Linked DNA regions of Sus scrofa. The protein of the gene in region 1 interacts with the protein of each later gene in a biochemical or structural test. Links are inferred from orthologs where the notes say so. Each region holds a gene or a part of one and is shown in the gene's direction. Other genes may lie near its edges. The genes, in order: HDAC1, NR1D2, KLF1, NR0B2, KCTD11, CTBP1 and PRKACA.

The links.
Region 2: the proteins of HDAC1 (region 1) and NR1D2 form a complex in vitro, tested with the Homo sapiens proteins (2 studies listed by BioGRID). The link is inferred for Sus scrofa from reciprocal best matches to the Homo sapiens genes HDAC1 and NR1D2.
Region 3: the proteins of HDAC1 (region 1) and KLF1 form a complex in vitro, tested with the Homo sapiens proteins (2 studies listed by BioGRID). The link is inferred for Sus scrofa from reciprocal best matches to the Homo sapiens genes HDAC1 and KLF1.
Region 4: the proteins of HDAC1 (region 1) and NR0B2 form a complex in vitro, tested with the Homo sapiens proteins (2 studies listed by BioGRID). The link is inferred for Sus scrofa from reciprocal best matches to the Homo sapiens genes HDAC1 and NR0B2.
Region 5: the proteins of HDAC1 (region 1) and KCTD11 form a complex in vitro, tested with the Homo sapiens proteins (2 studies listed by BioGRID, with this or other methods). The link is inferred for Sus scrofa from reciprocal best matches to the Homo sapiens genes HDAC1 and KCTD11.
Region 6: the proteins of HDAC1 (region 1) and CTBP1 form a complex in vitro, tested with the Homo sapiens proteins (2 studies listed by BioGRID). The link is inferred for Sus scrofa from reciprocal best matches to the Homo sapiens genes HDAC1 and CTBP1.
Region 7: of the proteins of HDAC1 (region 1) and PRKACA, one has a biochemical effect on the other in vitro, tested with the Homo sapiens proteins (3 studies listed by BioGRID). The link is inferred for Sus scrofa from reciprocal best matches to the Homo sapiens genes HDAC1 and PRKACA.

The regions. Positions count from the first base shown.
Region 1 is NC_010448.4:88,777,111-88,780,610, forward strand, and holds part of HDAC1 (histone deacetylase 1), read left to right. Parts: intron 1-1,156; coding exon 1,157-1,295; intron 1,296-1,753; coding exon 1,754-1,895; intron 1,896-2,949; coding exon 2,950-3,042; intron 3,043-3,500. UniProt on the Homo sapiens protein: Histone deacetylase that catalyzes the deacetylation of lysine residues on the N-terminal part of the core histones (H2A, H2B, H3 and H4).
Region 2 is NC_010455.5:10,755,499-10,759,753, forward strand, and holds the start of NR1D2 (nuclear receptor subfamily 1 group D member 2), read left to right. Parts: upstream 1-1,455; 5' UTR 1,456-1,746; coding exon 1,747-1,762; intron 1,763-4,255. UniProt on the Homo sapiens protein: Transcriptional repressor which coordinates circadian rhythm and metabolic pathways in a heme-dependent manner.
Region 3 is NC_010444.4:66,143,343-66,147,566, forward strand, and holds the start of KLF1 (Krueppel-like factor 1), read left to right. Parts: upstream 1-1,424; 5' UTR 1,425-1,475; coding exon 1,476-1,562; intron 1,563-2,227; coding exon 2,228-3,068; intron 3,069-4,224. UniProt on the Homo sapiens protein: Transcription regulator of erythrocyte development that probably serves as a general switch factor during erythropoiesis. Is a dual regulator of fetal-to-adult globin switching.
Region 4 is NC_010448.4:84,224,403-84,228,469, forward strand, and holds NR0B2 (nuclear receptor subfamily 0 group B member 2), read left to right. Parts: upstream 1-1,267; 5' UTR 1,268-1,330; coding exon 1,331-1,871; intron 1,872-3,144; coding exon 3,145-3,386; 3' UTR 3,387-3,754; downstream 3,755-4,067. UniProt on the Homo sapiens protein: Transcriptional regulator that acts as a negative regulator of receptor-dependent signaling pathways. Specifically inhibits transactivation of the nuclear receptor with which it interacts.
Region 5 is NC_010454.4:52,696,698-52,700,954, forward strand, and holds the start of KCTD11 (BTB/POZ domain-containing protein KCTD11), read left to right. Parts: upstream 1-1,457; 5' UTR 1,458-2,253; coding exon 2,254-2,952; 3' UTR 2,953-4,257. Other genes in the region: ACAP1 (arf-GAP with coiled-coil, ANK repeat and PH domain-containing protein 1), read left to right, coding at 218-267, 588-688. UniProt on the Homo sapiens protein: Plays a role as a marker and a regulator of neuronal differentiation; Up-regulated by a variety of neurogenic signals, such as retinoic acid, epidermal growth factor/EGF and NGFB/nerve growth factor.
Region 6 is NC_010450.4:493,128-497,309, reverse strand, and holds the start of CTBP1 (C-terminal-binding protein 1), read left to right. Parts: upstream 1-1,382; 5' UTR 1,383-1,508; coding exon 1,509-1,548; intron 1,549-2,689; exon of another isoform or gene 2,690-3,105; intron 3,106-3,903; exon of another isoform or gene 3,904-4,182. UniProt on the Homo sapiens protein: Corepressor targeting diverse transcription regulators such as GLIS2 or BCL6. Has dehydrogenase activity. Involved in controlling the equilibrium between tubular and stacked structures in the Golgi complex.
Region 7 is NC_010444.4:65,073,425-65,077,675, forward strand, and holds the start of PRKACA (cAMP-dependent protein kinase catalytic subunit alpha), read left to right. Parts: upstream 1-1,451; 5' UTR 1,452-1,667; coding exon 1,668-1,713; intron 1,714-4,251.

The DNA.
Region 1 (3,500 bases):
TGTAGGCCAGTGGCTACAGCTCCGATTAGACCCCAGCCTGGGAACCTCCATATGCCACTGGAGCAGCCCTAGAAAAGGCAAAAAGACAAAAAAAAAAATTATATATATATATATATATATATACACACACACTCCTCTCGCCCTCTTACATCTTGCTGTCTGAGATGGCCTAGACTCTCTGTGAAGTGTGTTTCTCCCAGCGCCGCTCTCTCTTGAGATGGCCTACACTTTGTCTCTAAATAAATCTACTTCTTACCTATCAAAAAATAAAAACATAAGAAAAATATATATTAATCACGACCCACTAAACCAATTTTAAGGCCTACTAGTAAGTTTGTGGTAGCTTCATTTTGTACCACCTTCATTTTGGAAAACAGTTTTTTAAGGAGATCGTGCTGTGATGCAGTAGATAAGAATCTAGATTCCGAAGTTTCCGTCATGGCTTAGCAGTAACAAACTCGATAGTTTCCATGAGGACGTGGGTTAGATCCCTGGCCTCGCTCAGTGGGTTAAGGGTCTGGTGTTGCCATGAGCTGCAGTATAGGTCGAAGACTCAGCTTGGATCCCATGTTTCTGTGGCTGTGGTGTAGGCCAGCAGCTGTAGCTCTGATTCAGCCACTAGCCTGGGAACTTTTGTATGCCATAGGTGTGGCCCTTGAAAGACCAAAAAAAAAAAAAAAAACTGAAAAAAGAATCCGTCTTTGGCCTAGGAACTTCCGTATGTCATGGTTAAGGCCGAAAAAGAAAACAAGCAAACAGAATAGTTTGTTTTTGTTTGTTTTAATTTTTTATGGCCACTTCCACGGCATATGGAAATTCCTGGGCTAGGAAACTTCGTCCTGGCAGCTGTAGTAATGCAGGATTCTTTAACCCACTGCGCCAGGCTGGGGATTGAATCCACGCCTCTGCAGTGACCTGAGCCACTATAGTCACATTTAACCCACTGTGCCTCAGTAGGAACTTCAAAACCAGTTTTTTGAGTAGCCAGTATCATGTTTATTCCCTGTTGGAATAGGGCAGGGGGAGAGGACTGGCTGGTGAATTGTACAGTGTAGCTGAAGAGGCAGGTCTTCCTCTTACTGGGCTCTCTTGGCTTCTGGGGGGAAGGGGGAGATTGGCTTGGTAACAGTCTTGTGATCTTTCTTCCCACGCCCAGCAAGTGCTGTGAAACTTAATAAGCAGCAGACGGACATCGCTGTGAACTGGGCTGGGGGCCTACACCATGCAAAGAAGTCCGAGGCATCTGGCTTCTGTTACGTCAATGATATCGTCTTGGCCATCCTGGAACTGCTAAAGTATGCCTGCCTGGCCTTGTCTCTTGGAGGAGCACCTTAGGCCAGGTTCCCACTTCCCTCTCCCCTGGGCTTGCCTCCCTAGTTTGCTTTTCCTAGCGGTGTGCTGGCTAGGATGTGTTCGGTGAGTGTCTCTGGCCATCTTCTTCTTGACGGGGTCTTGATTTGATCTGAGCCCACGGCAAGATAGGGGCAGGCGCTGCTCAGATCCTGCCTCCAGAGTGTCCCTGTGTGGCCGGAGTTGACCCTGGCTGTAGAGTAGGAAGATTGGACTTGGTCGCCTTGGTCAGGCCTCTGGAGACACCCTGCCGCTCTTCCACCTTCCTTCAGCCAGTTTCTACGTCTCTGGTGCTTAGAGATACCTGAGGGAGGCAGCCAGCCCGGTAAGCTGGGACCTGGCGCCCTTGGCGCGTCCCACTCCCAAGGAGCCCCCAGACCCCCTGACCCCCTTCTGATCCTAGGTATCACCAGAGGGTGCTGTATATTGACATTGATATTCACCACGGCGATGGCGTGGAAGAGGCCTTCTATACCACAGACCGAGTCATGACTGTGTCCTTTCATAAATATGGAGAGTACTTCCCAGGAACTGGGGACCTACGGGTGAGAACTCCCTTTAGGGGCCAACCAGCTCACCCTCAGCTGCCAGCTCTAAGTCTCCTATCTCATGTCACCAAAAACCACTTCCTGCCTCTTCTGCCGTTCAGAACATCACAACCTAGCTTGGGACACCTGCTATGATCTCTTTCCCTTTCTTATTCTGGAGGAAAGGAATGATGGTACATGAAGCTTTGGGAGGGATGGGGGTCTCCTGACTCATTGCACTTCCTCCTGGCCCCAGCCGGGTTGCATTACACTATTCACATATCCAGAAAGCTTGAATTCCAGGCTAAGAAACCTCAGGTTCTATCCAATGAGCTAGGAATTGGGACCTTTATGGACCATCTCAGGGGTTCTTAACATTCCCTTTGATCATCTGACTGAAAGCTCTGTACTGTCTCCCTGGGAAAGTACATGAAATTTTACATCTGATGGCAGATAGTTTATAGCACCTCCCCTTAGTGAAACCTATCCATGGACCTCTGGATAAGAATCCTTCAAAGCTGATTCATTTAACTGTTCTGCTTCTATTAGCATGAATACAATGAAACCAGCCACTTTGCAATACCAGTAGCCCTTGGGTGAAAAAGTGGCACTAATTCAGTTGTTTGCAATGGCAGGCCTTTGAATAATTGAGCATTTACAGTTTTGAAGAATTCTTCCCTTTCTGCTTTCCTTCTCGAGAGAATGGGAGGTAGAGGAGTGAGCATGCAAGCTCCCTGGCAAGGGAAGGGTTGTTGTGGGATGAGTGTTATTTTTTGTGGTCCAGCCCCCAGCCACCTTTAATCCAGTCCAAAGGGAGAGGTCTTGTGCTGTGGGGTAGGATATTCAAATCTCTGGCCCATAAATGGCCTCAGTGGTGTGTCCAGAGATGTGAGCTAGACTTGCCCTTGAGGGGAATGGTACTGACCTGCTCTGTCCCTGGCCCACCTCATGGGCCCAGCGTCTCTCTCTTAGAACCACTGCCTCCTTCCTTAGCCTTCCAGCCCCCATCCTTGAACTTCCTTCTAGCTTCATCTTTGAGTTTTACTTTAACTTTACTGTCCCTCTTGATTAGGATATTGGGGCTGGCAAAGGCAAGTATTATGCTGTTAACTACCCGCTCCGAGATGGGATTGATGACGAGTCCTATGAGGCCATTTTCAAGCCGGTAAGTGGCTTACCCAACCACCCTGGGCTATAGATGGGACTGATCTAAGGGAGGGGTAGCAACCCCCTAACATACTTCAGAAATCTCTCCCTGCTGAGAGGCTGGTTGGAAGTGAGATGTGTTTCAGCCCTTGTCTGCATGCTGCACGGCCAGTCAGGGGAACGGAATTCATCCAAATAGTTATCGATGCCGTCTCTGGAGCAGGCTCTCTGTTGGATCCAGGAATATTTAAGACAAGATCTATGCCCATGAAGACCTCACAGTCTATGGTATGGGAGGCAGGCACATCCCCAGAAGCATGTAGTCAGTGCTGTTTTTGAGGGATGAACAGAGGAGTGAGAGAGAAACTGCTTCCTGAGCTGAGGAAAGGGTATTCACAGGGGTGGTGATGTTTGAGTGGACATTGAGAAATGAGTTGCCCAGGTGAAGGAGGGTGGGGCCTGGAGGGGAAGGGTGGC
Region 2 (4,255 bases), on another chromosome or scaffold:
GACCACATTGTGTAGAGAGCTGTGTAGATGGTGCTCGAAGGCCTAGGAGAGAAGCAGGGCCCAAAGTTTGTGCAGAGCTTTGCAGGGCAGCTTCAAGTACTGGATTTTAAAAAAAGCAATAGGAAGCGATTGGAGGGTTTTGAGTAATTAGATCTCATTAACATTTAAAAACATAACACTGGGTAGAAGTGATTGTAGGTGGTTCCAGGCACAGTTTCCCCTGTTAGGGATCTATTAGAGTAGCCCAGGCAAGAGAAGATGGTGGTTTGATCTACAGTAATGACAATGCTGATGGTGAAAAACTGAAAGATCAAAGATGTATTATGAAGGTAGAATAGCTCAGATCTGTTAATGGGTTGAACCAGGTATAAAAGCAGTGAGAGGGAGAAAGACAGGAAGAGAGAGAGAGAGAAGTGAAACTCAATTTGTTGGTTTTAGGAACTGGCAGATTTATCAAAAAGTAGATGTTGATGGGGTAGAGTGTGTATGTGTGTGTGATGGGGCAGTGGGTGATGGGGGGCGAAGGGATGCAGCACATGTAAAAATGTCTTATGAATTATATTTCCCTCAATATTTCATATTGAAAAATTTCAAAGAGCAACTTAGAATTTTACAGTGAATACCCACATAAAACATCTACAACTACTACATGATTTACATAGTAAGATTATTATGCTTCTAACCGTCCATCCTGGCCTCCATCCCTCAGACCATCTTGCTTTCATAATGCACTTAAATTTGCAGGCATCAGTGCACTGCCCTCTTCATACCTCGGCACACGTCATTGGTCTCCCCCCTTTTTTCCTTTTGATGTAAAATGTACACACAAGGTGAAACGCACAAATCTTCGGTGTGCATTTGCTGAGTTTTGACACAAGCATACGCCTGCCTACACCTTAAATTTGAGATGCCAAAAGGATATCAAGGTGGCATAATCAAACGGGCTGCTGAATGCAGGAATCTGGGGCTCAGAGGAGACGTTGGAAATGTACATTCGGCAATCATCAGAACACAAGCCTACTTGAGCTGTTGGACTGAATGAAGTCACCCGGGGGTGCAGAGGGAAGGGATGTGGGCTGTATCTGCAGAGCCTGGTCTTTAGAGGTGGGTAAGTCGGAGAGCCGACTTGAGGCGCGGTCAAGGGTTGGGGCCAGCCCTGGATCCTGCAAAGCACGCCTGCTTGGCGCCACCGGGCGGGCCTAGGTAAACGTCCGAGGAGACCTAAGGTGTCACTAGGCGGGGGTGGGGCAGGTTCGGGGAAGGAAGCCTGGGGGGCTCCCACGGAGGCGGGAAGGTCAGCAGCGAGAAAGGAAGGAGGGAGGAGGAGGGGCCCGAGGGTGAGGGAGAGCGGGCGGTGGCTTGGGGAGGAGGGGGAGGGGAGCCGGCGGCGGGAGGGGCGGAGTCGCCGCAGCGGCCGGCCGAGGGGCGGGCGGAGGGAGGGGGTGTGCGCGGGTCACATGGTCGCGGCTGCCCTCCCCATCAGCCGCCCTCGCCGCCGCGGTGCGCTGGCTGCAGGAAGCCGCCGCGCCGCCGCTTTGTTGTCAGGGACCCCGCGAAGAGGGCCGCTCGCCGCCGCCGCCGCCCTCTCTCCCCGCAGCCCGCTCTCCGGCCGCGGGGCCGGGTCCGGGCGTCCCGCCCGCCCTGCCCATGAGGGGGCCCCGGCCCCGGGCGGCGCGGTGCTGAGGCGGCGGCGGCGCTGCCCCTTCTGCGGGAAGCGGGCGGCCTCGGCCCCCTCCCGAGGGCACCATGGAGGTGAATGCGGGTAAGAGCCCACTGGGCGGGGTAGCGCGGCGGAGGGGCGCTGGATCCCGGCGGGCACTCGGAGGGCTGCGGCGGGGCTGCGGGCTGGCGGGGCGCGGGCTGGCGGGGAGGGCTGCTGTGCGCCGCGGGCTCGCCTCGGGCTCTGAGCTCGTCGCCCCGGGGCCGCCCTCTCGGCTCCCCGCACCGCCGCAGCGCGGCCCGCGGCGCCGGCCGGGCGCCCCCCTCACATGGCCTGGCCGCGCGAGCCACGTGCGCGCTGTGTTTACGTTCGGCGGCGCGCGGGCGCCGGTTGGCTGGGCGGGCTCATGACGCGGCATTACATAATGGGCGCTGGGGCGGCGGCGGCGGGCGGGGACACGTGAGGCCGCTCGGCTCGGTGACCCACATTCCCGGGGGCCGCAGGGACACGTGGGGGCGGGTGCGCGCGCGCCAGCCGGGAGCGCCGCAGCCCCGCGGAGGCCCCGCCTCTCCGGAACCCTCGGGCTGTGACGTGGCGCGGTTCCCTCCTCCCCCGCGGGGTTGCTCTTTGCGGAGGAGGCCGCGCGTGCGCGCCGCGGAGACCCGCGCTCGGCGGCCGGGAGCTGAGCCTACGCGGGAGCCGCGGCCTGGCTGCGGGCAGGGAGAGGAAGGCGCCCGGCGTGGGCGCTCTGGCGCTGAAGGCAGTGCGGCCGGACAACCTGGGGCTTCCCCGACGCATGACCCTCCGCGGGGCCTGGAGGTGCTTGGCTTCCCAGCGACGCCCGGCGGAGGGGCCGGGGAACGCCCAGGTTGTGGTGCTACTTCGTATTAAAAAAAAAAAAAAAAAAAGACTGTTTTAGTGATCTCTTCTGGGAAGCCTTCTACCTCACCACCTTCCTCTATGGGCGGGTCCACCCTTGGCTCAGCCTTCAGCTCTATTGGGCGTGACCGAGGTGACCCCAGTGACTCCCAGGCCTCCTGTAAGGCTGGTCGTTTTTCGCTTAATTTCTTTAAACCCTTGGGTTGCTGACCTTTTCTGATTCTGATAACAGAATTTGACTCTATCACGCCCTTTCTTGTTATCTTTCACCTTGTCTGATTCTGATTCTGATAACAGAATTTGACTCTATCACCCCTTTTCTTGTTACCTTTCCTGCCTTGACATCCCAGCACAATACCCGGCTACCTTCTGCCCTTTTGTTTGCCTCCCTCCCCCCCCAATCAAAGGATGGACCGTTACCTGAAGACAGTGAGGTTGCAGAAGCAGCCAGTGATTATGTTTTAAGTTACCCGTTCAAAAAACCATGGCTTGATAACAAAGTGTTGTGAAATTTCCACCAGCAGTAAAAAATAAAGTCATTCTCGTGTGTTTTAATTACCTATGGGCCTGTTTAACCTGTGAGTGTAGTTAAAAAAAGTTCAGTAACTATTATGGAATTAAACTTACTTGGTATGGATTTAGAAGTATAAAGTTCAGCCTCATCTAACCTACCATGGATGAATAAAGCCAGCTTTTGTGTTTGAATAAAGTGGGCTGGCTCAGTGGTTAGGTTTTTTTTTCTAGTTTGAACCTTCCTGGAACATTTTCACTGATCTTAATTTTGATTTTATTTTTATTTTTTTGTCTTTTCTAGGGCCGCACCCGTGGCATATGGAGGTTCCCAGGCTAGGGGTCTAACCAGAGCTGTAGCCACCCGCCCTAAGCCAGAGCCGCAGCAACATGGGATCCGAGCTGCATCTGCGACCTACACCACAGCTCACAGCAATGCGGGATCCTTAACTCACTGAGTGAGGCCAGGGATTGAACCCACAACCTCATGGTTCCTAGTGGGATTCGTTAACCACTGAGCCACGATCCCTGATTTTAAATTGGCTACAAATTATAAAATTTCCTTGGGATGATTGTTGACGACCCGATTTCCCCCCTCCCCCCTGGCCAGTTCACATCCCATCCCTTGGTCCTTGCTCTGCTGTATTTTCTGATCGTTATCCTTGTTGCCCTTTGGGATGTGGGACTGGGAAATGAACAGGCTCCTGTGGAAGTTATTGGACAGCTGCCGAGCTCCAAGCTCGGGATTCTGATGTACATGAATTTGTGGCAGGCTTGGCATTTGTGGCTTGCTGCTTTGCTGACTCACAGTAACCTTGCAGTCAACTAGAACCTTTTCATGTGAACTATTCTGAAGCTAGGTTTCATCCTTCGTGCAGATAATTGTTTGACCTGAGCTGTAGGACCTTGTAATTATCTTTCTTAAATTTTCTCCTATTCCTTTTGGCTCCAGTTTCAAGCTGTCACAAACTGTTATGTAGTATACTAACAATTTCTGCCATGCCCCAATTTTTGCCAAGGGGGGCTTTGATAAGCATCCCCTTTAACTTGTTCATATTGTAAATGTAGCCCAGGGTGGGGCCAAATTCATTGCTGTGTGGCATGTCTCTGACACCTCACTTTGGGTTGATATCATTTTATTAGTCAATACATACTCAACCAGTGATCGTTTCTAACTCTGCTGTAAATAATGACACATTGTGTCTC
Region 3 (4,224 bases), on another chromosome or scaffold:
CAGCCGCTAGGTCTCCTGCAAGTCAGGTGCTTCCTGTGGCCCCATCCAACAGTCCTATCCCACCCAGAAGACAAGGTCACCTCCTCCTCCCCAGCCCCCATCACACTGGAGCAGCTCTAGTTGTACCAGCCTCAGCCCCCACACAGCCACACTCCCTGCAATGCCGCCTGGGGGATGGGGGCGTCTCCATGGTAAACAGTGATGGTTGATGGGCAAGGGACTCTCCTGCCACTGTGCACAGACCCTGGAAGCTTACAACCCAGGGGAAAAAAAAAAATATATATATATATATATATATATATAGTCTTTCTAGGGCTGCACCTACGGCATATGGAGGTTCCCAGGCTAGGGGTTGAATTGGAGCTGCAGCTGCCAGCCTATGCCACAGCCACAGAAATGCCAAATCCAAGCCATATCTTGAATTTACACCACAGCTTACGGCAATGCCTGATCCTTATCCCACTGAGCAAGGCCAGGGATTGAACCTGCGTCCTCATGGATGCTAGTCAGATTCATTTCTGCCAAGCCACAGCGGGAACTCCCACAACCCAGGAAATTTAAAAGCAAGTTAATCCTGGGAGTTTCTGTTGTGGCTCAGTGGGTTAAGAACACCACTAGTATCCGTGAGGATGTGGGTTCGATCCCTGGCCCCACTCATTGGGTTAAATGGATCCGGTGTTTTCTGAGCTGCAGTAGGTTGCAGATGCTACTTAGATCCAGAGTTGCTGTTGTTGTGCTGTAGGCCAGCCGCTGCAGCTCTGATTCAACTCCTAGCCTTGGAACTTCTATATGATGCAGGTGTGTCCCTAGAAATAAAAAATAAAATAAAATGATCAAAAAGATAAGAAAACCCCTGTCCTTCCCCTACCCCTTAAAAAAAAAGTTAATCCCCAGCCCCCAGCCCTGCCACTCACCAGGGACAGAGCCTTAGCTGATCTGGGCCCCCACCTGATAGCAGCCTCCAGCATCTGGGGAGTCTGATAATGCTTGCCTTGGCAGGGAGTTTGTGCCAAGTCCCGCCATCAACACGGTTGCTGCCGTTTATTGGGGAAGGGGAGAGCCAGAATGTCCTGCCAGAGGCAAGGGGGCTCTCAAAATTCCTTTCTAGAATCCTTATTCTGTCTGTCACCCCTTCTCCAGGAAAGTAACTGAGAGCATGTCCCCAAGTTTCTCCTTCTCTGGGAACCCAGTGCCTCACTGCCCAGCCCCTGAACCCCCAGCCCCTGAACCCCCAGCCCCTGAATATCTGATTGGCTTTGGATACAGGATGAGTCTTTAAGGCTCAGCCCCAAACAGCCCTAGGCAAGTCGGTTCCCCAGAAACAGTGACCCACGCCTTTGCCTGCCCCTTATCAGGGGCTGCAGCCAATCAGCTAAGGGCAGAGAGGAGCCCTCCAAGGGGCCAGCAGAGCCTCAGAGCCCACGAGGCTGCCAAAGGAGAAGAGGCCTGAGCCCCAGGGCAGGCACCAGCCAGCCATGGCTGCAGCAGAGACCGCCTTGCCCTCCATCAGCACGCTGACCACCCTGGGCCCCTTCTCGGACACACAGGAAGACTTCCTCAAGGTGGGGTCAGGTGGGGTCTAGACGGGCTGGCTGGGGTTCCAGGCCCAGACCACAGAGCTGGGGGATCAGATCTGCATCTTTACCTGGAATTCAGAGACCTGGTCAGGACTGTGAGTCCTCAGTGCAGGCCAGGGTTCTGACCTTGGTCTAGGGGCCTATTTCTGTCACAGAAAACTAAGGCTGGGAACTGAACAACATGGACATCTAGACTCAGGGAGACAAGCTCAGATATCAGAGGGAAATTGCAGATATGTCTAGGGGACACCCATGAATTAATCTTGGGATTAGTTTTGTTGGGGGACAGGGAAGGAGTTGAAGATTCTGGGGGGAAACTGAGGCAAGGCTGAGCCTTCCCTAACCTTCCATTCTTGGCTCTGTCAGCCCTTCCCCCACGCCTCAGTGTGGCTCTAGATAATGTAAGCCTTATCGGCTGTCTCCAGCCTGACCCGATAGACCTCTGTCTCTGGAGCTGAGATGGGGGTGGGGGGCATGAGGACGACAGTGTGAGGGAGTGGGACAGACTGACATGATGGACAAGCAAACAAGATTCCTTTCCTGAGCCTCTGGCCAGCCTGCCCCCATCAGGGCATCCGGGCCCCCCATCATCTCTGGGCAGGATACCCTGGTGTCCACTGAAGCTTCTTGCTACCGGCTCCCTCCCACAGTGGTGGCGCTCTGAAGAGGTGCAGGACTTGGGCCCAGGTCCCCCCGACCCCACCGGGCCACCCCTCCATGTGAGGCCGGAGTTGGAAGACGCACCCAAGGAGAACGAAGATGATGAGAGGGACGTGGCTACCCCCTGGGACCTGGATCTCCTCCTCACCAACTTCCAGTGCCCAGAGCTGGGCAGCACATCCCAGACCTGCGCGCCCCAAACTTGCACCCTGGCTCCTGGCGAGGGCCCTGGGGCGCAATTCCCAACGCCGCCCGATGTTCTGGGCACTTATGCAGGCGGCCCAGGGTTGGTGGCTGGGATCTTGGGTGCCGAAGAGCACCCGGGCTGGGCGCGCCCAACCCCACGAACCCCGGCTCCCGACGCCTACGTGGGCCCAGCCCTGATCCCAGCCCCCGAGCCAAAGGCGCTGCCGCTGCAGCCGATGTACCCGGGGCCAGGTGCGGGTTCCTCCGGTAGCTACTTCCCGCGGACCGGGCTTCCAGTGCAGGCAGCCCCGGGCGCCCCCTATGGGCTGCTGTCCGGGTACCCAGGGCTGTACGCAATGCCGCAGTACCAAGGGCACTTCCAGCTCTTCCGTGGGCTCCCGGCCCCGGCGCCCGGCCCCGCTACGCCTCACTCCTTCCTGAGTTGTCTAGGACCCGGGACGGCAGGTGCAGGACTCGGGGGGACCACAGGAGACTCAGGAGGAACCGCAGAGGCTGCGCCATCCAAGCGCAGCCGGCGATCTTGGGCACGCAAGAGGCAGGCGGCCCACACGTGTACGCACCCCGGCTGCGGCAAGAGCTACACTAAGAGCTCGCACCTGAAGGCACATCTACGCACGCACACCGGTGAGGGGGCGGGGCCCGGCTCAGGGGTGGGGCTGGGGCGGAGCCTTGGAAGAGGAGTGCGGTCTAGTTGGAAACCTAGAGCGAGGGGCGGGGCTAAAGCAAAATCTCGGAGCAAAGTGCTGCGGAAAGGCTGGGACCCGACTGAGACACCAGGAGTCCAACCCCAAGCGGTGCAGAAAGCGGGTGGGGACAGAGAAGGGATCTGGAAAACCTGGGAAGCGTTTTGGGGAACCGACGGGTAAGATCTGGGCCTGGGGAGTTCCTGTTGTGGCTCAGCATCCATGAGGAAACGCGTTCCATCCCTGGCCCAGCCCAGCGGGTTAAGGATCCGGCGTTGCCGCAAGCTGCGGTGTGGTGTTGCTGTGGCTGTGGCCCGCAGCTGCAGCTCCGATTCGACCCCTAGCCTGGGAACATGCATATGCCACAGGTTCTGCCCTAAAAAGCAAAAAAAAAAAAAAAAAAAAAAGATCAGGGCCCGGGACAGGCAGAGAAGTAGAAAGCTGGACCAGAGGTGTAGGGAATGGGGCTAGAGGGACTGAGGGGAGGGGACAATTCTAAATACCAGGGGTGGGGCCAAAGATACAGGGTTCAGGTTTGTGGCAGCAAGAAGCGGGAGTTAGGGGTTCTGGGGCCTTAACCAGGGGTATGAAAATTAGGTTGCTTGGCATGGAGGCGGAGGCAGACTGTAGGGGGTGTGCTGGAGCTCAGAAGAGTTAGTTGCAGGAGCCCTGACGCCCAGGCAGGTCCTGAAGAGTAAAGGAAAATAGCCGGGAAACAGAAGAGGGTGGGCTTAGGAGGAGAAGCCAGGTCCCAAAGAGCCAAAAGATGGGTGGGGACGAAGAATAGTGGCAGGGAAGAGGAGGGATGAGGCCTATTCTTCGGGGTCTGCACAGAGGATGGGCCCACGTGTATAGACCTGCACTGGGACTCAGGAAGGAGGGGCCAGGTCTAGCAGGGAGAGAGTGGAATCGCCGAAGACAGGGCCTGGAACACCAGGTGGATTTCTAGGCTCAAGAGCCAAGATCAGGGTCAGGATTGGGCAGCAGCTGGAAGGCCCCCTGGTGCAAGGGAGGGGCTGGAACACAGAGGAGAGTGCCAAAGGATGGAGACTGTGATAGCATTAGGATGCGCGCACAGGGTACCAGGGCACAGGAAG
Region 4 (4,067 bases), about 4.6 Mb from region 1:
AGCAGAGCAACATTTCTGCCCAGATCACATGGGCAACATCTGCAGACCAAGAAGCAGAGGTGGGGGCCCAGGTGGTCATGAGCTCTGGGAGACCCAGGCCCCACAGCTCTGGCTGCCCAATTGGGCCAGAGGGTCCAGGGCAACAAGTGAGGATTTTGGAGTCAGACTGATCTGGGCTCTGTCTCTTCTCAGTGGTTTGAACTTGGGCAAGTCACTTCACCTCTTTGAGTCTCAAAAAGTAAGAATCTTGGGAGCTCCTGTTGTGGTTCAGTGGGATAAGAAACAAACTAGTATCCATGAGAATGCAGGTTCGATCCCTGCCTTGCTCAGTGGGTTAAGGAAACAGCCTTGCCTCAAGCTGTGGTGTAGGTCACAGACTTGGCTCAGATTCCGCATTGCTGTGGCTGTAGTGTAGGCAGGCAGCTGCAGTTCTGATTTGACCGCCTGGCCTAAGAACTTCCATATGCTGTGGGTGTGACCTTAAAAAAGACAAAAAAAAAAAAAAAAAGGTTTGGAATCTTATAGGGCAGCTTTGAATAAGAGAGTGGAAAGTGCCTGGCATGTAGTAAATAGCAGCAGTATTTCATTATCATTCTGCAAAGGCTTCTCAGCAGATATAGCCCTTCAGGGTCTCCAGGAATCCAGGCTGGGGAGAAAGACTTCTTAAGGATCTTATTCGTGCAGGACCCCCCAGAACTGGAGTCAGAGGAAAGGGGCCTCCTTGACTGCAAAGTGGGCAAAGTCCTCCCAGCCCCCCAGGGTCCTGGCTCCCTTCCCTGCAGGTTGTTCCTTACTGACAACGGGAGCAGGGCCCCAAGGTTAGGCAAACAAGCAAGTGATAAGGCGCTTCCAGGTTGGGCCTTGTGTTCAAGGCTTGTCCCGGTCTGGGGCTGGCTTCCCAGTCGAGCAAGAGTCCTGCTGGCACCAACAGGGACACCTGCCACGGCCACCTGCAATCGGGTGCAATCATGCACCTGAGGCCTTGGTGCCCTGGTACAGCCTGGGTTAATGACCCTGTTTATCCACTTGAATCATCTGACAAAGGGCAGCCCGGCCAGCAGGCAGGCGGCTCTTGCCCTGCACCCGCCGCTTCATTGACTGAAGCGATATCAGAGCCACGTGGAGTTCCAAGGCCCCCTCCCCCCTCACTTCCTCACCGGTCCTGCCAGGGTCAGTGTGTGTTTCTTTTTTTTTCAATGAACATGACTTCTGGAGTCAAGGTTGTTGGGCCATTCCCCCGCCCTCCCCCATGGGGGGATATAAATAGCACCCATAGCACAGAGCAGAGGGCAGGGGAGAGCCGGGAGGAAGCAGGAGCAGAGCCTCAATCATGAGCTCCAGGCAGCCAGGGACCTGCCCATGCCAGAGTGCAGCAGGCCGCCCAACCATTCTGTATGCACTTCTGAGCCCCAGCGACAGGGACCGGCCGTCTGTGCCCCCAGCCCGCAGCCACTGCCTGTGCAGGCAGCACCGGCCTGTCCGGCTCTGTACCCCCCATCGCACCTGCCAGGAGGCTTTGAATGTTCTGGCCAAGACGCTGGCCTTCCTCAGGAACTTGCCGTCTTTCTGCCAGCTGCCTCCCCAGGATCAGCGGCAGCTGCTGCGGGGCTGCTGGGGTCCCCTCTTCCTGCTTGGTTTGGCCCAAGACATTGTGACCTTCGAGGTGGCCGAGGTCCCAGTTCCCAGTATACTCAAGAAGATCCTGCTGGAGGAGCCCAGCAGCGGCGCAGGTAGTGGCCAGCCGCTGGATCGGCCCCAGCCCTCGCTGGCTGCCGTGCAGTGGCTTCAGTGCTGCCTGGAGTCCTTATGGAGTCTGGAGCTGGGCCCCAAGGAATACGCCTACCTGAAAGGGACCATTCTCTTCAACCCTGGTGAGCTCCTAGACACTCCTGGATGGGGGCCGAGGCTGGAGGGGGCCAGGGCTTAGCCAGGAGGGCGCCTTCTAAAGGCTTGACACCCGTTGTCTTTTTTGGGTCCTCATTATCACCACCAAAGAGTCATCTCACAAAAGGGGCTCAGAGAGGCTAAGTGACTCGCTGAAAGTCACACAGCCAGGGAGGGGCAGAGCAAGGATGGGAACTTGGGTCTCTTCACTTCAGCCACTCTGCCCCAGAACCTTGTCCTGACCCTCAGGGAAGGCGGGAGTCCTGAAAGGGAGGGTGGACAGACACAACTGTACCTCAGTCATGTCTTCACCAGCTGATGGCATGAAGATATTCTGAAGGTGCAAGTCCGTGGGTCCAGAAAGACCATGCATAGAAGAGGAATGAAAACGAGGGATGTGGGGGAGGAGAGGGAGGAGTCTGTGTAAACTTCAGCCGGGAGAGCACAGATAGAGGTAGTGTCTTTGTTATCTGGAGAGCACCTAGATGAGAATGTCTCCCCAAAAGGCCTTCATGGGATACATTATCAAAGAAATTGTTTAGAACAATAGTAACAAATACTCATATTACGCTTACCGTATGTTCAGTCCAGTGCTAAGGGTTTGACATGTACTGGCTCATTCAAACCTCATAACAAGTCTAGAAGATAGGTTTTTATACCCATTTTATCATTTTGTTATCATTATCATTATTATTATTATCCTTATTTGCCTTTTTGTCTTTCTAGGGCCGCACCCATGGCACATGGAGGCTCCCAGGTTAGGGGTCCAATCGGAGCTGTAGCCACCCACCTATGCCAGAGCCATGGCAATGCGGGATCCGAGCCGCATCTTTGACCTATGTCACAGCTCCTGTCAGTGCGGGATCCTTAACCCACCAAGGGAGGCCAGGGGTCAAACTTGCATCCTCACGGGTGCTAGTCGGGTTCGTTAACTGCTGAGCCACGACAGTAACTCCTATCATTTTATTATTTATTCCCATTTTACAAATGAGGAAACAGAGGCACAGAGATTGAGTAACTTTCCCAAGGCCACATAGCTAATAATGATAGTGTGGGATTCAAACCCAGGTGGCCTGGGTCTTAACCATTGCTCTATACTACCTCACCATAAAGGAGCAATGAATAAAGTGATGGATAAGTAACTCGAGATAGAAATAGGGTCCCAAAAGCTGAGCTGGCGGCCTCAGGTCTTGGGCCAGTCTTATCCTGTGGTGTCGGAGCAGGGTCCTCACCAGCCCTCTTTGCCTTCTCTGCCCGCAGATGTTCCAGGCCTCTATGCCTCCTCCCACATCGGGCACCTGCAGCACGAGGCCCACCAGGCGCTGTGGGAGGTCTTGGAGCCCTGGTGCCCAGCAGGCCAAAGCCGCTTGGCTCGTGTTCTCCTCGCAGCCTCCACCCTCAAGTCCATTCCGCCCACCCTGCTTGGGGACCTCTTCTTTCGCCCTGTCATTGGAGATGTTGACATCGTTGGCCTCCTCGAGGACATGCTTTTGCTGAGCTGACCTGCTCCAGCCCAGGCAGAGATCAGGTGGAGGCTGGCAGCACTGATTTGACCTGGCTGTCCCCAGGGGTGAGCCGGTGCTCCCAGAGGGGGCAAGCCTGGACAGCGAGCTCTCGGCTCCCCAGGAGCAGCTAGTCCTGGCCCAGCCAATTGGGCTACACCCTATCTTGGCCTTCCTTGTTTTGGGCACCGTGCTCCAGCTGTCTGGCCAGCCCTTGGTGGTCCCAGGACCTTTGGGCCAAGACTCCTGTCTCCTCCTGGGATGGGGTTGGAAAGTCTGACTGCTCACTGGGTCAGGAGTCCTCCTGACTTTGTACAGAACTGACTTAAGTTATTGGTTTTTGTAATAAAAAGTGTGACACACATGGAGCCTGACGCTGTATTTTGTACATGTGGAGGGGACCGCCTCACCTCTGGGGTTACCCCGCCCTGCCCCTATAGGAGGGAGCCCCTGAAGAAGGAACTCTAAGTGTACAGCAGTCAGACCTCTGGAAACTGGAATTTTAATATATCAGAGGGGAATGATGATTTCATTTCTGGGGATGCGATTTATTTTGCATGGGTCTAAATCCAGGGGGCAGCATCAGTTCAAGACTCCCTCACATCCTTGACTTTATCTTAGAAGGTAGTAGGTATCTCTCCCTGCCCCCATCCCCTGCTGACCCCCTCCCCCAGCTCCCGC
Region 5 (4,257 bases), on another chromosome or scaffold:
AAAGGATGCTCCAGGGATGGACTGAGGCTTGGAGAAGGAGGGAGGGCAGGGTCCGAGGAAGGGGACTTTATTCTGAGAGAGGCAACGTTCGTTAATATTGTCGTTAGGCATCTTTTCAACAAAACAGATGAATGAAACTCCCAACTCAAAAGATAGGAAGTTGGGGGGGTAGGTTGTTAAGAGAATGTCATTCATTCCTTAATTCCCTTCCCTACAGGCTCCGACTGGCAAAGATGAGAGAGGCCGATGCGGCCCAGGGCCAGGCTGGTAAAGTACCCCCCACCCCCGCCCCCACACGACACTGTAACTCTGGGCTTCTGGTCGCTGGTGACCTGTCCCCAACCCCCTGTGCTCAGCTTCTTTGGTTAATTACATTATTTAGTCAACAGATATGGATGGGGCACATCCTACGCGCCAGGTCCTTGAAACAGAGCAAAGAATAGGCGAGGGCGCTGCCCTGACAGCGCAGATGTCCCCTCCACCCACGCTGGAAGCGCGTGCTCTTACCAGGCCGGGCTGTCCCCATTGTGCGCTTCAGTGCTAGCGCCCAGCCACCCGGCGTCCCAGCCCTTCCTCCCTCCCCTCAGGAGATGAGACGTATCTCGACATCTTCCGAGACTTCTCCCTCATGGCATCTGACGACCCCGAGAAGCTGAGGCGGCGCAGTCATGACCTCCACACGCTATGATCTCAGACCGTCGAGGGCCCCGCACCGGCTACTCCTCCCCTCCGCCCCTTCGCCATTAAATCCTCTGTGCCTTGCTCTTCAAAGTTCATTTACTGGGCAGCCCCTTCAGGCTGGCAAGGAGTTGGGCGTTGCGTCTCTTGGGGTGCAGGAGCGGCTGGGAGTTTGCGAGCTTGAGTCACACGAGGGGCGGAGGGGCGAACAAGGGGAACAAGAAGAGGGAGCTTCGGCCTCAGTCTGAGAGTCGCGCGGGGCACGTAGGCTCAGGCGACGTGGCCAGACCCATCCGGGTGGGGAGAAGCCGCTCGCGTGGGCTGGGCCCGGCCTTCCCTTGGGGGTGCTGGCATATGGCTGGGATGGCGAGGCTGGCTCAGGCCACCCCGGCCCAGGCCCGGAGGCATCCCTGGAATGCGGCGGCTCAGCACCCGCCCCCTCGGGAATTCCCTGCGGAGCGACTGGGAAGGAACTGGTCCCCAGCCCCCGACGGCCAGGCTTCGGTTTCCGGAGCGGCGAGATAGGAGGGGCCGGCTCCAGCCTAGATGCAGACGTGAGGTCTAGCACACCTGGGGGCCGGCGGGGCCGTCGCAGCCACATCCGGAACGACGCGCCTGAGTCACCCGCAGGACCCCACCCCCGCTAGCGTCCGCCTAGCCAGCCCGTCCGCCCCGTCTCTCCGGTTCGCCGCTCTCGGCTCCCACCACCACCCAAGCCGCGCTCGCCCGGCGGGGGCGGGGGGCGGGGCGCCCAGGGGGCGGGGCTGCCTCTTAAAGGGCCCCCGGCCGCTGCCCTTAGGCCACTTCCTGGGGGCGGAGAGGACTTCAGCGGCTGCGACGACACTGGGGGAAGGCGGCGGCGCCCGGTCTCGAGACTCCCGGCTGCTTCCATCGGAGTCCTTGGACACTGCCAGCTCGGACTGAGCGTGCATCCTCGCTCCCCAGCGGACACAGAGGAGCCTCCGGTGTCGGCTCCGGTCAGCCCCTCCTCCATCTCCTGGAACCCGCGCCGGAGCCAGGCCAGGCCCGGCCTCCGACTGGCTCCCGGAGCTCTGCATCGACTCGCCCGGAGCGACAGCGCTCTGCCCCAGAGCTCAGAAACCTGACCCTTCAAAGAGTCGGCCTTGTGCTCGCCACCGTCACCTGCTGGTTGGATTTCGGAAACCCACTGTCTGAAGACCACATAGAGGAATCGCTGACCCCCGGAATCGGACCTAAATCTCTCGTCCCTCTCTGGCTTCCCTCTGCTGTTTTTATCCGTTCTCCCAATCTTTCCGGAATTTCTGTGCCCAGAACCCTCCCCCACCACAGTAGCTGGAGTGAGCCCCACATCTTGCTGCCTTGTACTCCAATTTGTGCCTCCGACCCAGAGACTGCCTGAACTTTACGCCCCAGTTCTGCACACACCCAGGAAGTTCCGCCTTTTCTTCTCTTTCGGTGTCCCCAGTACTCCTCAAAATTTCCCCTCCTCCTGTGCCCTCTCCGCCCCCCGCCTTTGGGGGCCCTGTGACCCTGAATGTGGGGGGCACGCTATATTCCACCACTTTGGAGACGCTGACTCGATTCCCAGACTCCATGCTGGGGGCCATGTTTAGGGCCGGTACCCCCATGACCCCCAACCTCAGTCCCCAGGGAGGTGGCCACTACTTCATCGACCGAGATGGCAAGGCCTTCCGGCACATCCTCAACTTTCTGCGGCTGGGCCGCCTGGACTTGCCCCGTGGATATGGGGAGACGGCGCTTCTCCGGGCAGAGGCTGACTTTTACCAGATCCGGCCTCTCCTGGATGCCTTGCGGGAACTAGAGGCATCTCGGGGGACCCCGGCACCCACAGCCGCCCTGCTCCACGCAGATGTAGAAAGCAGCCCCCGCCTGGTGCACTTCTCCGCTCGCCGGGGCCCGCACCACTATGAGCTGAGCTCTGTCCAGGTGGACACCTTCCGGGCCAACCTCTTCTGCACCGACCCCGAGTGTCTGGGTGCCATGCGGGCCCGATTTGGTGTGGCCAATGACGACAGGGCGGAGGGAGGCCCACACTTTCGTCTGGAGTGGGCCCCCCGCCCCTCGGAACTCCCGGAAGTGGAGTACCAGAGACTGGGGCTGCAGCCCCTGTGGACTGGGGGGCCAGGAGAGCCACGGGAGGTGGTGGGCACCCCGAGCTTCCTGGAGGAGGTGCTGCGGGTGGCCCTGGAGCACGGCTTCCGTCTCGACTCCGTCTTCCCTGACCCCGAAGATCTGCTCAACTCCCGATCTCTGCGCTTCGTTCGGCACTAAGAACTGAACTGGGAACGCTGCCCTCCGTTTGACCGGGGCGGGGGGGAAGGGGAAAAAGAAGGGGGTGCCAAAAGGGATGAAGGCTCTCCTGAGGCCTCTTCCTGGCTCTGCTTGGGGAGCTGTGAGAGTCAGGAGTCCCACTGCACCTGACTGGAGCCCAGATATGGGCAGCAATCCCCAAACCAGAGCCCACAAGACCAGAGGGTCTGGACTGATGCTAATCCTGGGAGGGGTAGGGAAGCTTCCCTTGGCTGTTTCTCCTCTGAGCCTGGGGACCTCCAGTGTTTCCTTGCTTGGAGCTCGGTATTCAGGGTCTGGAAAGGTGGAGACACTTCTCTTGCAGGGCTGGGCTTATCAGACCTGTGGAGGGACCCTCAGGGTTTGGGGAAAGAGGGTCTTTGGATTGCTTTAATGTGGTCTCCTAGACTGTGACTTCTCCTGGAGCTGGTGGCCTGGCCTGGCCTGGCCTGACCAAGGAGAGGCCAGGACACTCCGACACACGGGAAGGGAGATCCTTTGCCATGTCCCAAGCCACCACTGAGGGAGACAGAAAGGCTACGCCCCACCCTAGGTGGCCACAAGGGAGCTAGGAGAATCCCCATTAACTGTGGGGCTGGAGCATCCTTCCCATCTTAAAAGACCCCATATTGATGGTGGGGCTGCCCAGGGGGGAGGCGGGAGCACGTTCTTGGGTCCTGGCCTGTCTTCCTTCGCTTCAGGCATGTGTACGTGCCTGCCAGCCAGTGGGTCAGATGATGTGTGGGGCCCTCACCTCCTGGCTCCCATCTGTGTTGCTGGAGATGGTGTCTGTGTGCTGGTCTTTCTGCGGGCTCTTCATGTGCAGGCTTGTTCGGGGTTGCCTGGCAACTGTTCTGGCACCAGGTGTGCCAGCACCATGGGTGGAAGCAGACTGAGAATTAGTTTAATCACAGGTGTGCGTGCACACATGTGTCTCACATCACCACGTCGGCAGGAGGAGCCTGCCGGGCCTTGAGTCACTAGGCTCTGCTGCTGAGAAGTGAGAGAAGTCACTGGGGCTCAGCCGGGCCTTGGAGCCCTGTATAGAACTCTCGGTTGCTAGGGCAACCATGAGCCTGTTGCTAGGAGATAGCTGGGGAAGGCCCAAGGCTGTCCAGGGCAGAGAGATGAACAGAGGAGTTTGAGAGAGTGGGGGAGGCTATGGAAAAGGATGGGATTTCTGGGTCCCTGGGGGATGGGATACTCACAAACGACTTCTTCACTGGGGGAGTCGCTTGCTATTTATCACTGGTCACGATTTACAAGAAGACAAATAAAATTGCTTTT
Region 6 (4,182 bases), on another chromosome or scaffold:
GCTTTCTTGCGTCCACTCACACTTCTCTGATTTATGGACTTTAAAGATGTATAGACAACAGGGTTGGTTTCAGGATGGCCCATCATGTTTCATCAACTGTACCAACACTTGAGTGCTGGTCACGGCTGTTGCCTTTTAAGGAAGTGATTTTTGGAGTTCCCGTTGTGGCTCAGTAGGTTAAGAACCCGACTAACAGCCATGAAGATGCAGGTTTGATCCCTGGCCTCGCTCCGTGGATTAAGGATCTGGCTTCCGATCAAGCTGCGGTGTAGGTCACAGATGCCGCTAGGATCTTGCGTTGCTGTGGCTGTGGTGCAGGCTGGCAGCTGCAGCTCTGATTTGACTCGTAGCCTGGGAACTGCCATGTGCTTTGGGTGTGGCCCTAAAAAAAAAAAAAAAATCTTTTTACCTGGGAAGAGAGTTATACCGCCCATCCTCATGGCCACCTCGTAGCAACGCAACTCCCAGGACAGTGTGGGTCTGGGGAGAAAGGTCTCCAGAGTCTCCTGGGCCCTGCCCCCGTAACCTCACCCGGGAGACCTGGTTAGCTCCCACCCTGAAAGCCCCCATGACCCTTGGGTGGCAGGTCCCCTCTGGACTCTGGAACTAAGCCCAGGTGCTCTCTCTGGGGCTGAGGCGGTGCTCACCCTGACACCTGCTTCAGCCACATCTGGCTGCTTCCCAGGGACCCCACCCCCACCCCAGACCTAGGCAAGTCCCTGCCCTTGGCTTCGAGCAGCTGTCCTGGGGACTCCTGTCCAGGCTGCTCCGCCCAGACACGCCCTCCTCGGTCCCTGGAACCCAAGCACAAGGCCAGGGTTTCCCAGAGAAACCCTCCCGCGTTTGTGCCGCTGCCTCCCACGACCTTGCAGCCGCCAGGAGTCCAAAGGACATTCAAACCACCGGTACCCAGAAGCGCATTCGCTCGCCCAGCCGCCAGCAGGAAGGTGCGAGACCGGTGCGGCCCCGAGGGTGCGGATGACAGCAAGTTCAGCCCATCAGTCAAGGCCCAGTGGATTACAAGCAGGTGGGGCCTGGCAGGTTCAGGGCTGGTGAACGTGGGGGCAGGTGGGATCTGGAGGGTTCGGGGCAGGTGCGTGTGCGGGCAGGCGGGGCCTTGGGGCTTCTCAGCAAGTGAGTCTGCATGTGCTGGGCAGGTGCATGTGCGGGTGCGGGGCGGCGCGGCCGGCGGGGGCGGGGGAGCCCGCAGGCCGGGCGCGGCGGGCGCGGCGGGCGGGGCGGGCGGGCGCGGCCTGCAGCCGTCCGCGTGGTCCTGCGCGGCGCCCGCGCCTGGAAACAGGAGGCCGCCGCGCCGGAAGCCCCGCCCGCGCGCGCGCCCTGTCCCCGCCCGGTGGAGCGGCTGCTGGCGCGGCGCGGCGGCTCGGCACGGCGGCGCCCGGCGCAGGCGAGCGGGTGGAGCAGCGGACGGCGCCCAGGCCGCCCCACGCGCCGGGCTCGCGGCGGAGCGCGCCGGACTCGTCGGAGCCCGCGGCCGCCCGCGCCTTTCAATGGGCAGCTCGCACTTGCTCAACAAGGGCCTGCCGCTCGGTAAGGCCGCGCGCGCGCATTTCCGGCCGCGGGGGCGGGGCGGGGCGGGGCCGCGGGGGCGGGCGGGGCGGGCGCGGGCCCGGCTTTGTGTGCGAGTGCGCGTGCGCGCCGGCGCCGGCGCGCCTCCGGCCGGGGGCGGGGCCCGGGAGCGCCGCGCGCGTGCGCGTGCTGCTGCGTGCGAGTGCGCGTGCGCCGCCGCCCGACCCGCCTGCGCAGGTGACACAAAGGGGCGCGGGGGCCCTGGGACCCCCGCACCCAGGGTGCAGGCCCCGCCAGGCTGGCGCAGCCCTTGCTGGTGGGGCCCTGCGGAGCGGTCTGGCGCGCCGATCGGGGACCCGGCGTCGCTCGTGGCCGGACTGCGGAGCCGAAGCGGCCCTCCGCGAATCCGCGGCGCGGTGTCTTCCCTCACGCTTTGCTCGCCCTTTCGATCCCCACCGGCTTATGAAACGTCCGAAGTGCTGCGTCTGCCGAGGCGGCGCCCTTCCCGCTCACCAGGCGGAGGTGGCAGCAGGGCGCCCGCCTCCTTCTCTGAGCCTGTCTGTTTCCACCTGAGTACCTAGAGTGGTGTGACCCGCTTCTGTTTGTCCCCAGGCACCTTATGCCGCTCTTGTTTTGAGAAGTGACAGGAGCAGGCACCATCCGTGCCCCCGGCAGCACTGGGGCCCTGAGCCTGGGGCTGGCCGGGGAAGGCCGGGTGGGGGGCCCCCCCGGGGTGGTGTTGGTTTGCTGGCCGCTGTCTACATCCCTATCCGGCCACTTCCGCCGCGTCGTGCCCACCTGTCCTGCCACCTTGCACAGTCCCTGCTCCTCCTGGCTTCCAGTAGCTGGCCTAGGGCCTCCTTGTGATTGGGGTGGCGGGAGAGGCGCCACCCGCAGCTTCTTCCGTCCTCTCCTGCCGCCCAGCCACTGGAGCCTATAGATCAGGGATCGCGGACCAGGTTGGGGGGGGGAACTAGCATGGCCCCTGAGCTTTGGGCGGAGCTTTCTCTAGCTGGTGCCAACCTGCAGGCTAGGGAAGGCGCGCCCCTGGGCTTGCAGAGGGAGGGCCTTTAAGCAGGCAGCCGGAACTTGGCTGGGGCAGCCCCCTTTCTGGTGATGCTCTTCTCTGTGATTGGTTAGGAGCCATCACCCTCGAGAAGCGGGATGGGATGGGTTCGCTTCCGGGTGCTCTGAGTTGAGGAGACCGAGGTGAGCCCCTCATCCAGCTCCTGCTTCTCTCTCTTCTCGGGGTGGCTGGAGAGTCGGGTTGCAGATGGGGGCCCAGAGCCTGGACCACCGTCACATCCATGGAGGCGTCCCCCCCCAGCTCCCTCCTTCTCCCTCTGCACAGGTCGCAGTTTCATTTGCCTGAAAACATATGCAGGCAAACACTAAGGAGGAAGCCGCTTCTCAGCAGCGTGAACGTTTGGGGGTGCCCTGTGGGTCAGTGCAGCCTGTCCACTCTTGTGAGCCTCTGGAGGAGTGACCACAGCAGGCAGGAGCACAGACCTGCCTCCGGGGGCCCTGGCTGAGCCCTGGTGACTGGGGCATAATCTTGGGCCCTTTATGGGACCGTCTGTACGTATCTCTAAAGTGGGCCGGCAGTGTGAGACGTGGGGTCACATGAGTGGGCCCGTGCCAGGGGCAGGGCCCGTGCCAGGGGCAGGGCCGGGACTGGGGACTTGGGGGCAGGGAGGGACACGGCTGGGGGAAGGGCCAGGGGCCAAGGACAGGGCTGGGACCAGGCCCATGGAGCAGAGGACAGGGCAGGGCCGGGGGCAGCGCCTCTGCTGTAGCTGCGTGGGCTCGGCGTCATTGTCCTTCCTGTCCCAGAATGTCAGCTGTGTGGGTCCTGCCGGCCCTCGTCGCGGTGGCGTCTCTGGCTGGGGCCGCCTCGGTCTGGGGCTGCCCTTCCTGCAGGCGGTCTGTCTGTCCACAGGCTGGGTTTTACCGTGGTCTCTGGGCGTGCACGTGTTTTGGTTGGGGCGTCGCTGCTTGGGAAGGCTGGGCTGTGTCTGTCCCCCGGCAGGCACGTGCACCCTTCATTCTCCTGCTCCAGGGAGCAGGGGCGGCTGGGCCGCGGTGTCTGGGCAGCTGGACCTTCCTCCCTCCCAGCTGCGTGCGGGGTTCCCCTTCCCGCCTCTTCAGCCTCAGGACACTCAGGAGGGGGTGCCTGGTTCTGTGGGCAGCCCCTACTCAGCCCCTGGTCCGAGAGGCTGGAGCCACCCCTGTGCCTGCAGCGGGGAGGGTGATTTTCTGATGAGCGGCTGCATGGAGGGCCCGGCCGAGCTGAGCTCCTCTCCGCCCCAGCAGGGCCCTTGGGGTCGGCCAGCAGCAGCTGTCGCTTGGCGGGGGCTTCTTTGGGCAGCTGGCCGCGCGAAGGCACTGGGGCCACGATGGGGCTTTTCTCTCTGATGGTTTGCCCCCTCCCCTGGCCGTCCTGTGTCAGCGCCCTGGGGCCTTGCCTGCCGTGGGACTGAGAGATTTGCCCCCAGAGCCCCTTCCCGGGAGAGCCTAGTGCTGGTCCCTGGCTCCGGGCAGAGGCAGCTGTGTCTGAGGCTTTTTGTCCTGTGGGAACGCTCCTTCTAGAAGACTCCTAGTTTCCCCCGCTGGTGGCGTGGGCGCAGGGCTCAGAGCCCGGGGGGCACGTCCGTC
Region 7 (4,251 bases), on another chromosome or scaffold:
CCAGACTGCTGCTAGATGGGGTGCAGGTTGTACAAATCCAGAAGCAGAGGAGCAAATTGACTTGTAGACCTTAGACCAGCTGGCCCCTCCAAGCCAAGGAGAGCTGGCTCATCCAATCTCCTGCCCCTTGTGTCACCCCGTTTGGGCCTTCCTCTACATCAGTGGTTCTCAACTGGGGGCAGTTTTGCCCCCCAGGACACACTGAACAGTGTCTAGAGGTGGCTTTTGTTGTCACAGCTGGTGGAGGAGAGGAAGGTTCTACTGACATCCAGGTGGCAGACTGGGGATGCTGCTAAACACCCTACAGGACCACTCCTCACTCCCACGCCAGCATAGACTGGTCCGGCCCTGAATGTCAGAAATGTGGCAGTGGGAAACTGTCCTCAGTATATTAAAAGGGCACCCTAAGGAAGGGGCAATTTTGCTACTCTGCTCCAGGAGGGGCCGTTCCTTTTGCATTGCCTAGACAGAGGGAATCCCCATCTTGGCTGTGCCCCATTCCTCATCTGTAAAATGGGAGTGATGATCATAGTGCCTACGTGATAGGAGTGTGGTACGAAATAACGTATTTAATGAGCGCTAGCTCACCACTGCCATGAGCCCAAGTTGGGGACCCAGTAAAAAAGGATGGCTAGTGAGCGCCCCCTCCCAACATCCCCTTGCTCCTGCAGCCCAGCATCCTCCAGAAGCTCAGGCTGTGGCTGAGAGAGACCCAAGAGGACCGCAGCCTGGCCCCGGGGCCTGCAGCTATCCTGCGCCAGGCCTTATGAATGACGACGGCCGGCGGCCGGGCGACCTATGACCCGCGGCGCCTGCTGCTCTCCTCCCCCGCTGGCAGGTGGACAGCGGCTGCGCCGGGGTTGCGGGGTGGGGTGGGGGGGGCGCGGCGCCAACCTCGGCTGGCCGGCAGCCGCTGCCGCACTGAGCGGGGGCGGGGGACTGCGGCGAATACGGGGCTGGGCGAGCGCCCGCCTGGACCGCCGCCTGGGGCTCCGAGCGCTGCGCGGCCGCCCGCCAGCCTCGGCCGCCCCGCCCGGCGGGTCCAGGCAACAGGATGAGCCTCCGCGCCCCCCCACCCGGTGGGTCGAGGCTCAGCCTGCCGCCCCGCCCGTCAGGTCCGGGCGGCGGGCTGAGCCTCCGCCCCGCCCTCTCACCTCGGGATTGACACTGAACGTTCGGCCGAGGGTTTGCCGGACAGCCAGCCTTGGCCAATTGACTGCCTCGCTGGGCGGGCCCCAGAGCCTGTCGGGAGGCTGGACCAATCAGACGCGTCGGCCCGCCCGGCTGAGGCCTCAGAAGCGCGCGAGTGGCCGGGCGTTCTAGGGGCGTGTCAGGGGCCGGGATCCTATGGCAGCACGGGAGGTTTGCGGAGGACCAATGGACTGCGGCGTAGCGCCGTCAGTCAGGGAGGCCTAGACCAATGAGCGGCAGGCTGCGGGGGCGTCACGGACAGCAGCAGCAGCGGACTTGGGCTGAGGTTCCCGGGCGGGCGGGCGCGGAGAGACGCGGGAAGCAGGGGCTGGGCGGGGGTCGCGGCGCCGCAGCCAGCGCAGCCAACCCCAGGGGCCGCCGCCGCCGCCGCCGCCCAGCGCGCTCCGGGGCCGCGGGCCGCCTCCAGCACCCGCCGCGCCGCAGCTCCGGGACCGGCCCCGGCCGCCGCCGCCGCGATGGGCAACGCCGCCGCCGCCAAGAAGGGCAGCGAGCAGGAGAGCGGTGAGTGCCCGGGCCGTGACCCCGATCGCGGCCCCGCGCTGCCAGCCCCCTCCCTGTCCATCACCGCTTGGCCCCTCCCCTTATCCCCCCCATTTCTCTCTGTTTACCCTACAGCGAACCCTTCCCCCTGTCTGTCCAAGGTTGGGGCCCAAGGCCCGCAGAAGACCCCGTAGGAGCCCCCTTGCCAAAGACCGTCCCCCTGTGCAAAGACCGTGCTCCCCCCCAGCTGTCACTGCCAACCATGGCACGTATAACCGCTGAGGCCCCACATGGGGCCCTGTCACTACCCCACTCTCTTCTTTCCTGGTACCTCTGCACAGATTCTAAATCTCCCCCCACTTCTTCACTCACCTCTTCCACACTCACCTCTTCTGCCAGTCTGGGAGTGCTGTGGGGTCTGCCTCCACCCTGCAGGGACCTTGGCCACTTGGTGACCACACCCCTCCCCCCTCCAGCCCCCGCCATCTTTCTCCTGCCCTTCCCCTCTTCACCTTATCACAGCCCCCTCCAACCCCACTTTGCCTTCCTTGAGCATTTCTCAGGGCCACCTCCAGAATTGTTTTTCCCTTCTGTGTCACTTGACATGGGGGACAGGATCTTTCTGGGTCTCTCTGCCCCTCTCTCATCCTGATACTCTCTGTCACTCTGCTCCTCTGCTTGTGCTCCCTCCTCCAAGCAAGCGTCTGTCCCTGGCTGGGGTAGCAGACTGTTTATGAACCTAGAGAACTGCTTCAGTGCTTCCAAAGCCAAGTTTGAGCTGATCTTGCTGGAAAATTCATTGCGTCGTTTTTCCTGGGTTGGGGGGTGGAGGTGTCAGCAGAGAGCCCCTTCCCATCTCTGGAAGGCTCTAGGCTCCTCAGAGGGCCCCTCAATAAATGGTTGTTTCACAACTGAGGCTTCGTCATTCACCCAGTCCCCCAGGCTTCTTGACCCGCTCCGGGCTTGGGATGAAGAGTGTCTGGCTTTAACAAGCCTCCTTCAGCTTGAGCTGGAATGGTGAGAAAGAGGACTCAAGGGATGGCAATTGGGAGGAGTAGTGGGTGACATCTAATGCCTCTCTGCCAAGGGACAAATAGATTCTGATCATTCCCAGGGTTCAACCAGAGAAGAGCCTATTTCTCCCTCAGCCCCCAAATAGTGGCCTTTTCCAGCCAGCCAGGGAAAGAGATTTTGGTATCTGGAAATGCCTTCAGAAATGGCCTTGAGCCCCTTCCTCAGTTCCTCCAGCTCTTAAATTGTCATCACTCCAGGCATAAAGCTGGACCTCAGCTAGGATCCCCTTCCAGTTACCCAGAAATAGTCAGAGCTTAAAAGGGAGGCCACATCCACATAGGTCCTTCCCATTTACTGGTCTCAACCCGCAGCGTCCGAGTTCCCCGAAGGCTCCCTCCCAGAAAGACCCAGGCATGAAAGCCAGGGAACTTGCTTCCCATCCGGATTCAAATGGCCAAATTTTAGAGTCACTGAGCAACCATGGAGAGGCCTGACAAGTCACCGAGGGGCGGGGAACGGGGAGGCAAGTGCCTGTAGCTGAGCGCTTGATGACAGAGGAGCAGGTGGGTAGTGACCAAAAAAGGTCTGGGCCTGTGCTTGGAGGGGACTAAGCAGAGGGGGAGGAGCCAGGCCCCCAGCAGGTGAGGCTGGCTGGGAGGTGGAAGGTGGAGGCAGGCAGCTGTGTATTTCAGAGGCTCAGTTGAAAGTTGGGGAGATGACATAGTCCTGAAAACTCTCAAGGCATATCAGACACATACAGTGGGGCCGGGGGTGGGGGTAGGGGTGGGGGGAAAGCCGCACAGGGAAAAGGATCCCCAAGAAACAGATCAGAGGCTCTGGAAGGAAGCGCTAATTCCCTCAGATCACTCAGGACTGGAATATCAAGATGAAGTAGAGCCACTATTTATTGGGCATCTAGGATGTGCCAGGCTATGTGGTCTCCATAGATCTGTCTGCTCAAGTGGTTTTCTTTCTTTTTTTTTTTTTTTTTTTTTTTTTTTTTTTGTCTTTTTGCTATTTCTTTGGGCCCCTCCCGCGGCATATGGAGGTTCCCAGGCTGGGGGTCAAATCGGAGCTGTAGCCACTGGCCTACGCCAGAGCCACAGCAACACGGGATCCGAGCTGCGTCTGCAACCTACACCACAGCTCATGGCAACGCCAGATCGTTAACCCACTGAGCAAGGGCAGGGACCGAACCCACAACCTCATGGTTCCTAGTCGGATTCGTTAACCACTGCGCCACAACGGGAACTCCTCAAGTGGTTTTCATAATGGGCTGTCATCCGAATTTTCTACACGTGTTCTCTGAGTTTGACATAGGTGATGCCACAGAGGCAGGATTCTCATCCAGTTCCACCTACCAGCCAACTTCCTGGACCCTGGGATGTCCTAACTCAAACATTCTCCCACCTGCCTTCCTGATTTTTTGCTATATCCACTTCTATTTTGTTAACTTAAAATAAAAAATTTGACTCATTTTTGTTCAGATATAAATCTTGATCTGTCCTGAGCAGTAGTATAAAGGAAATCATGGGATTGCTATGC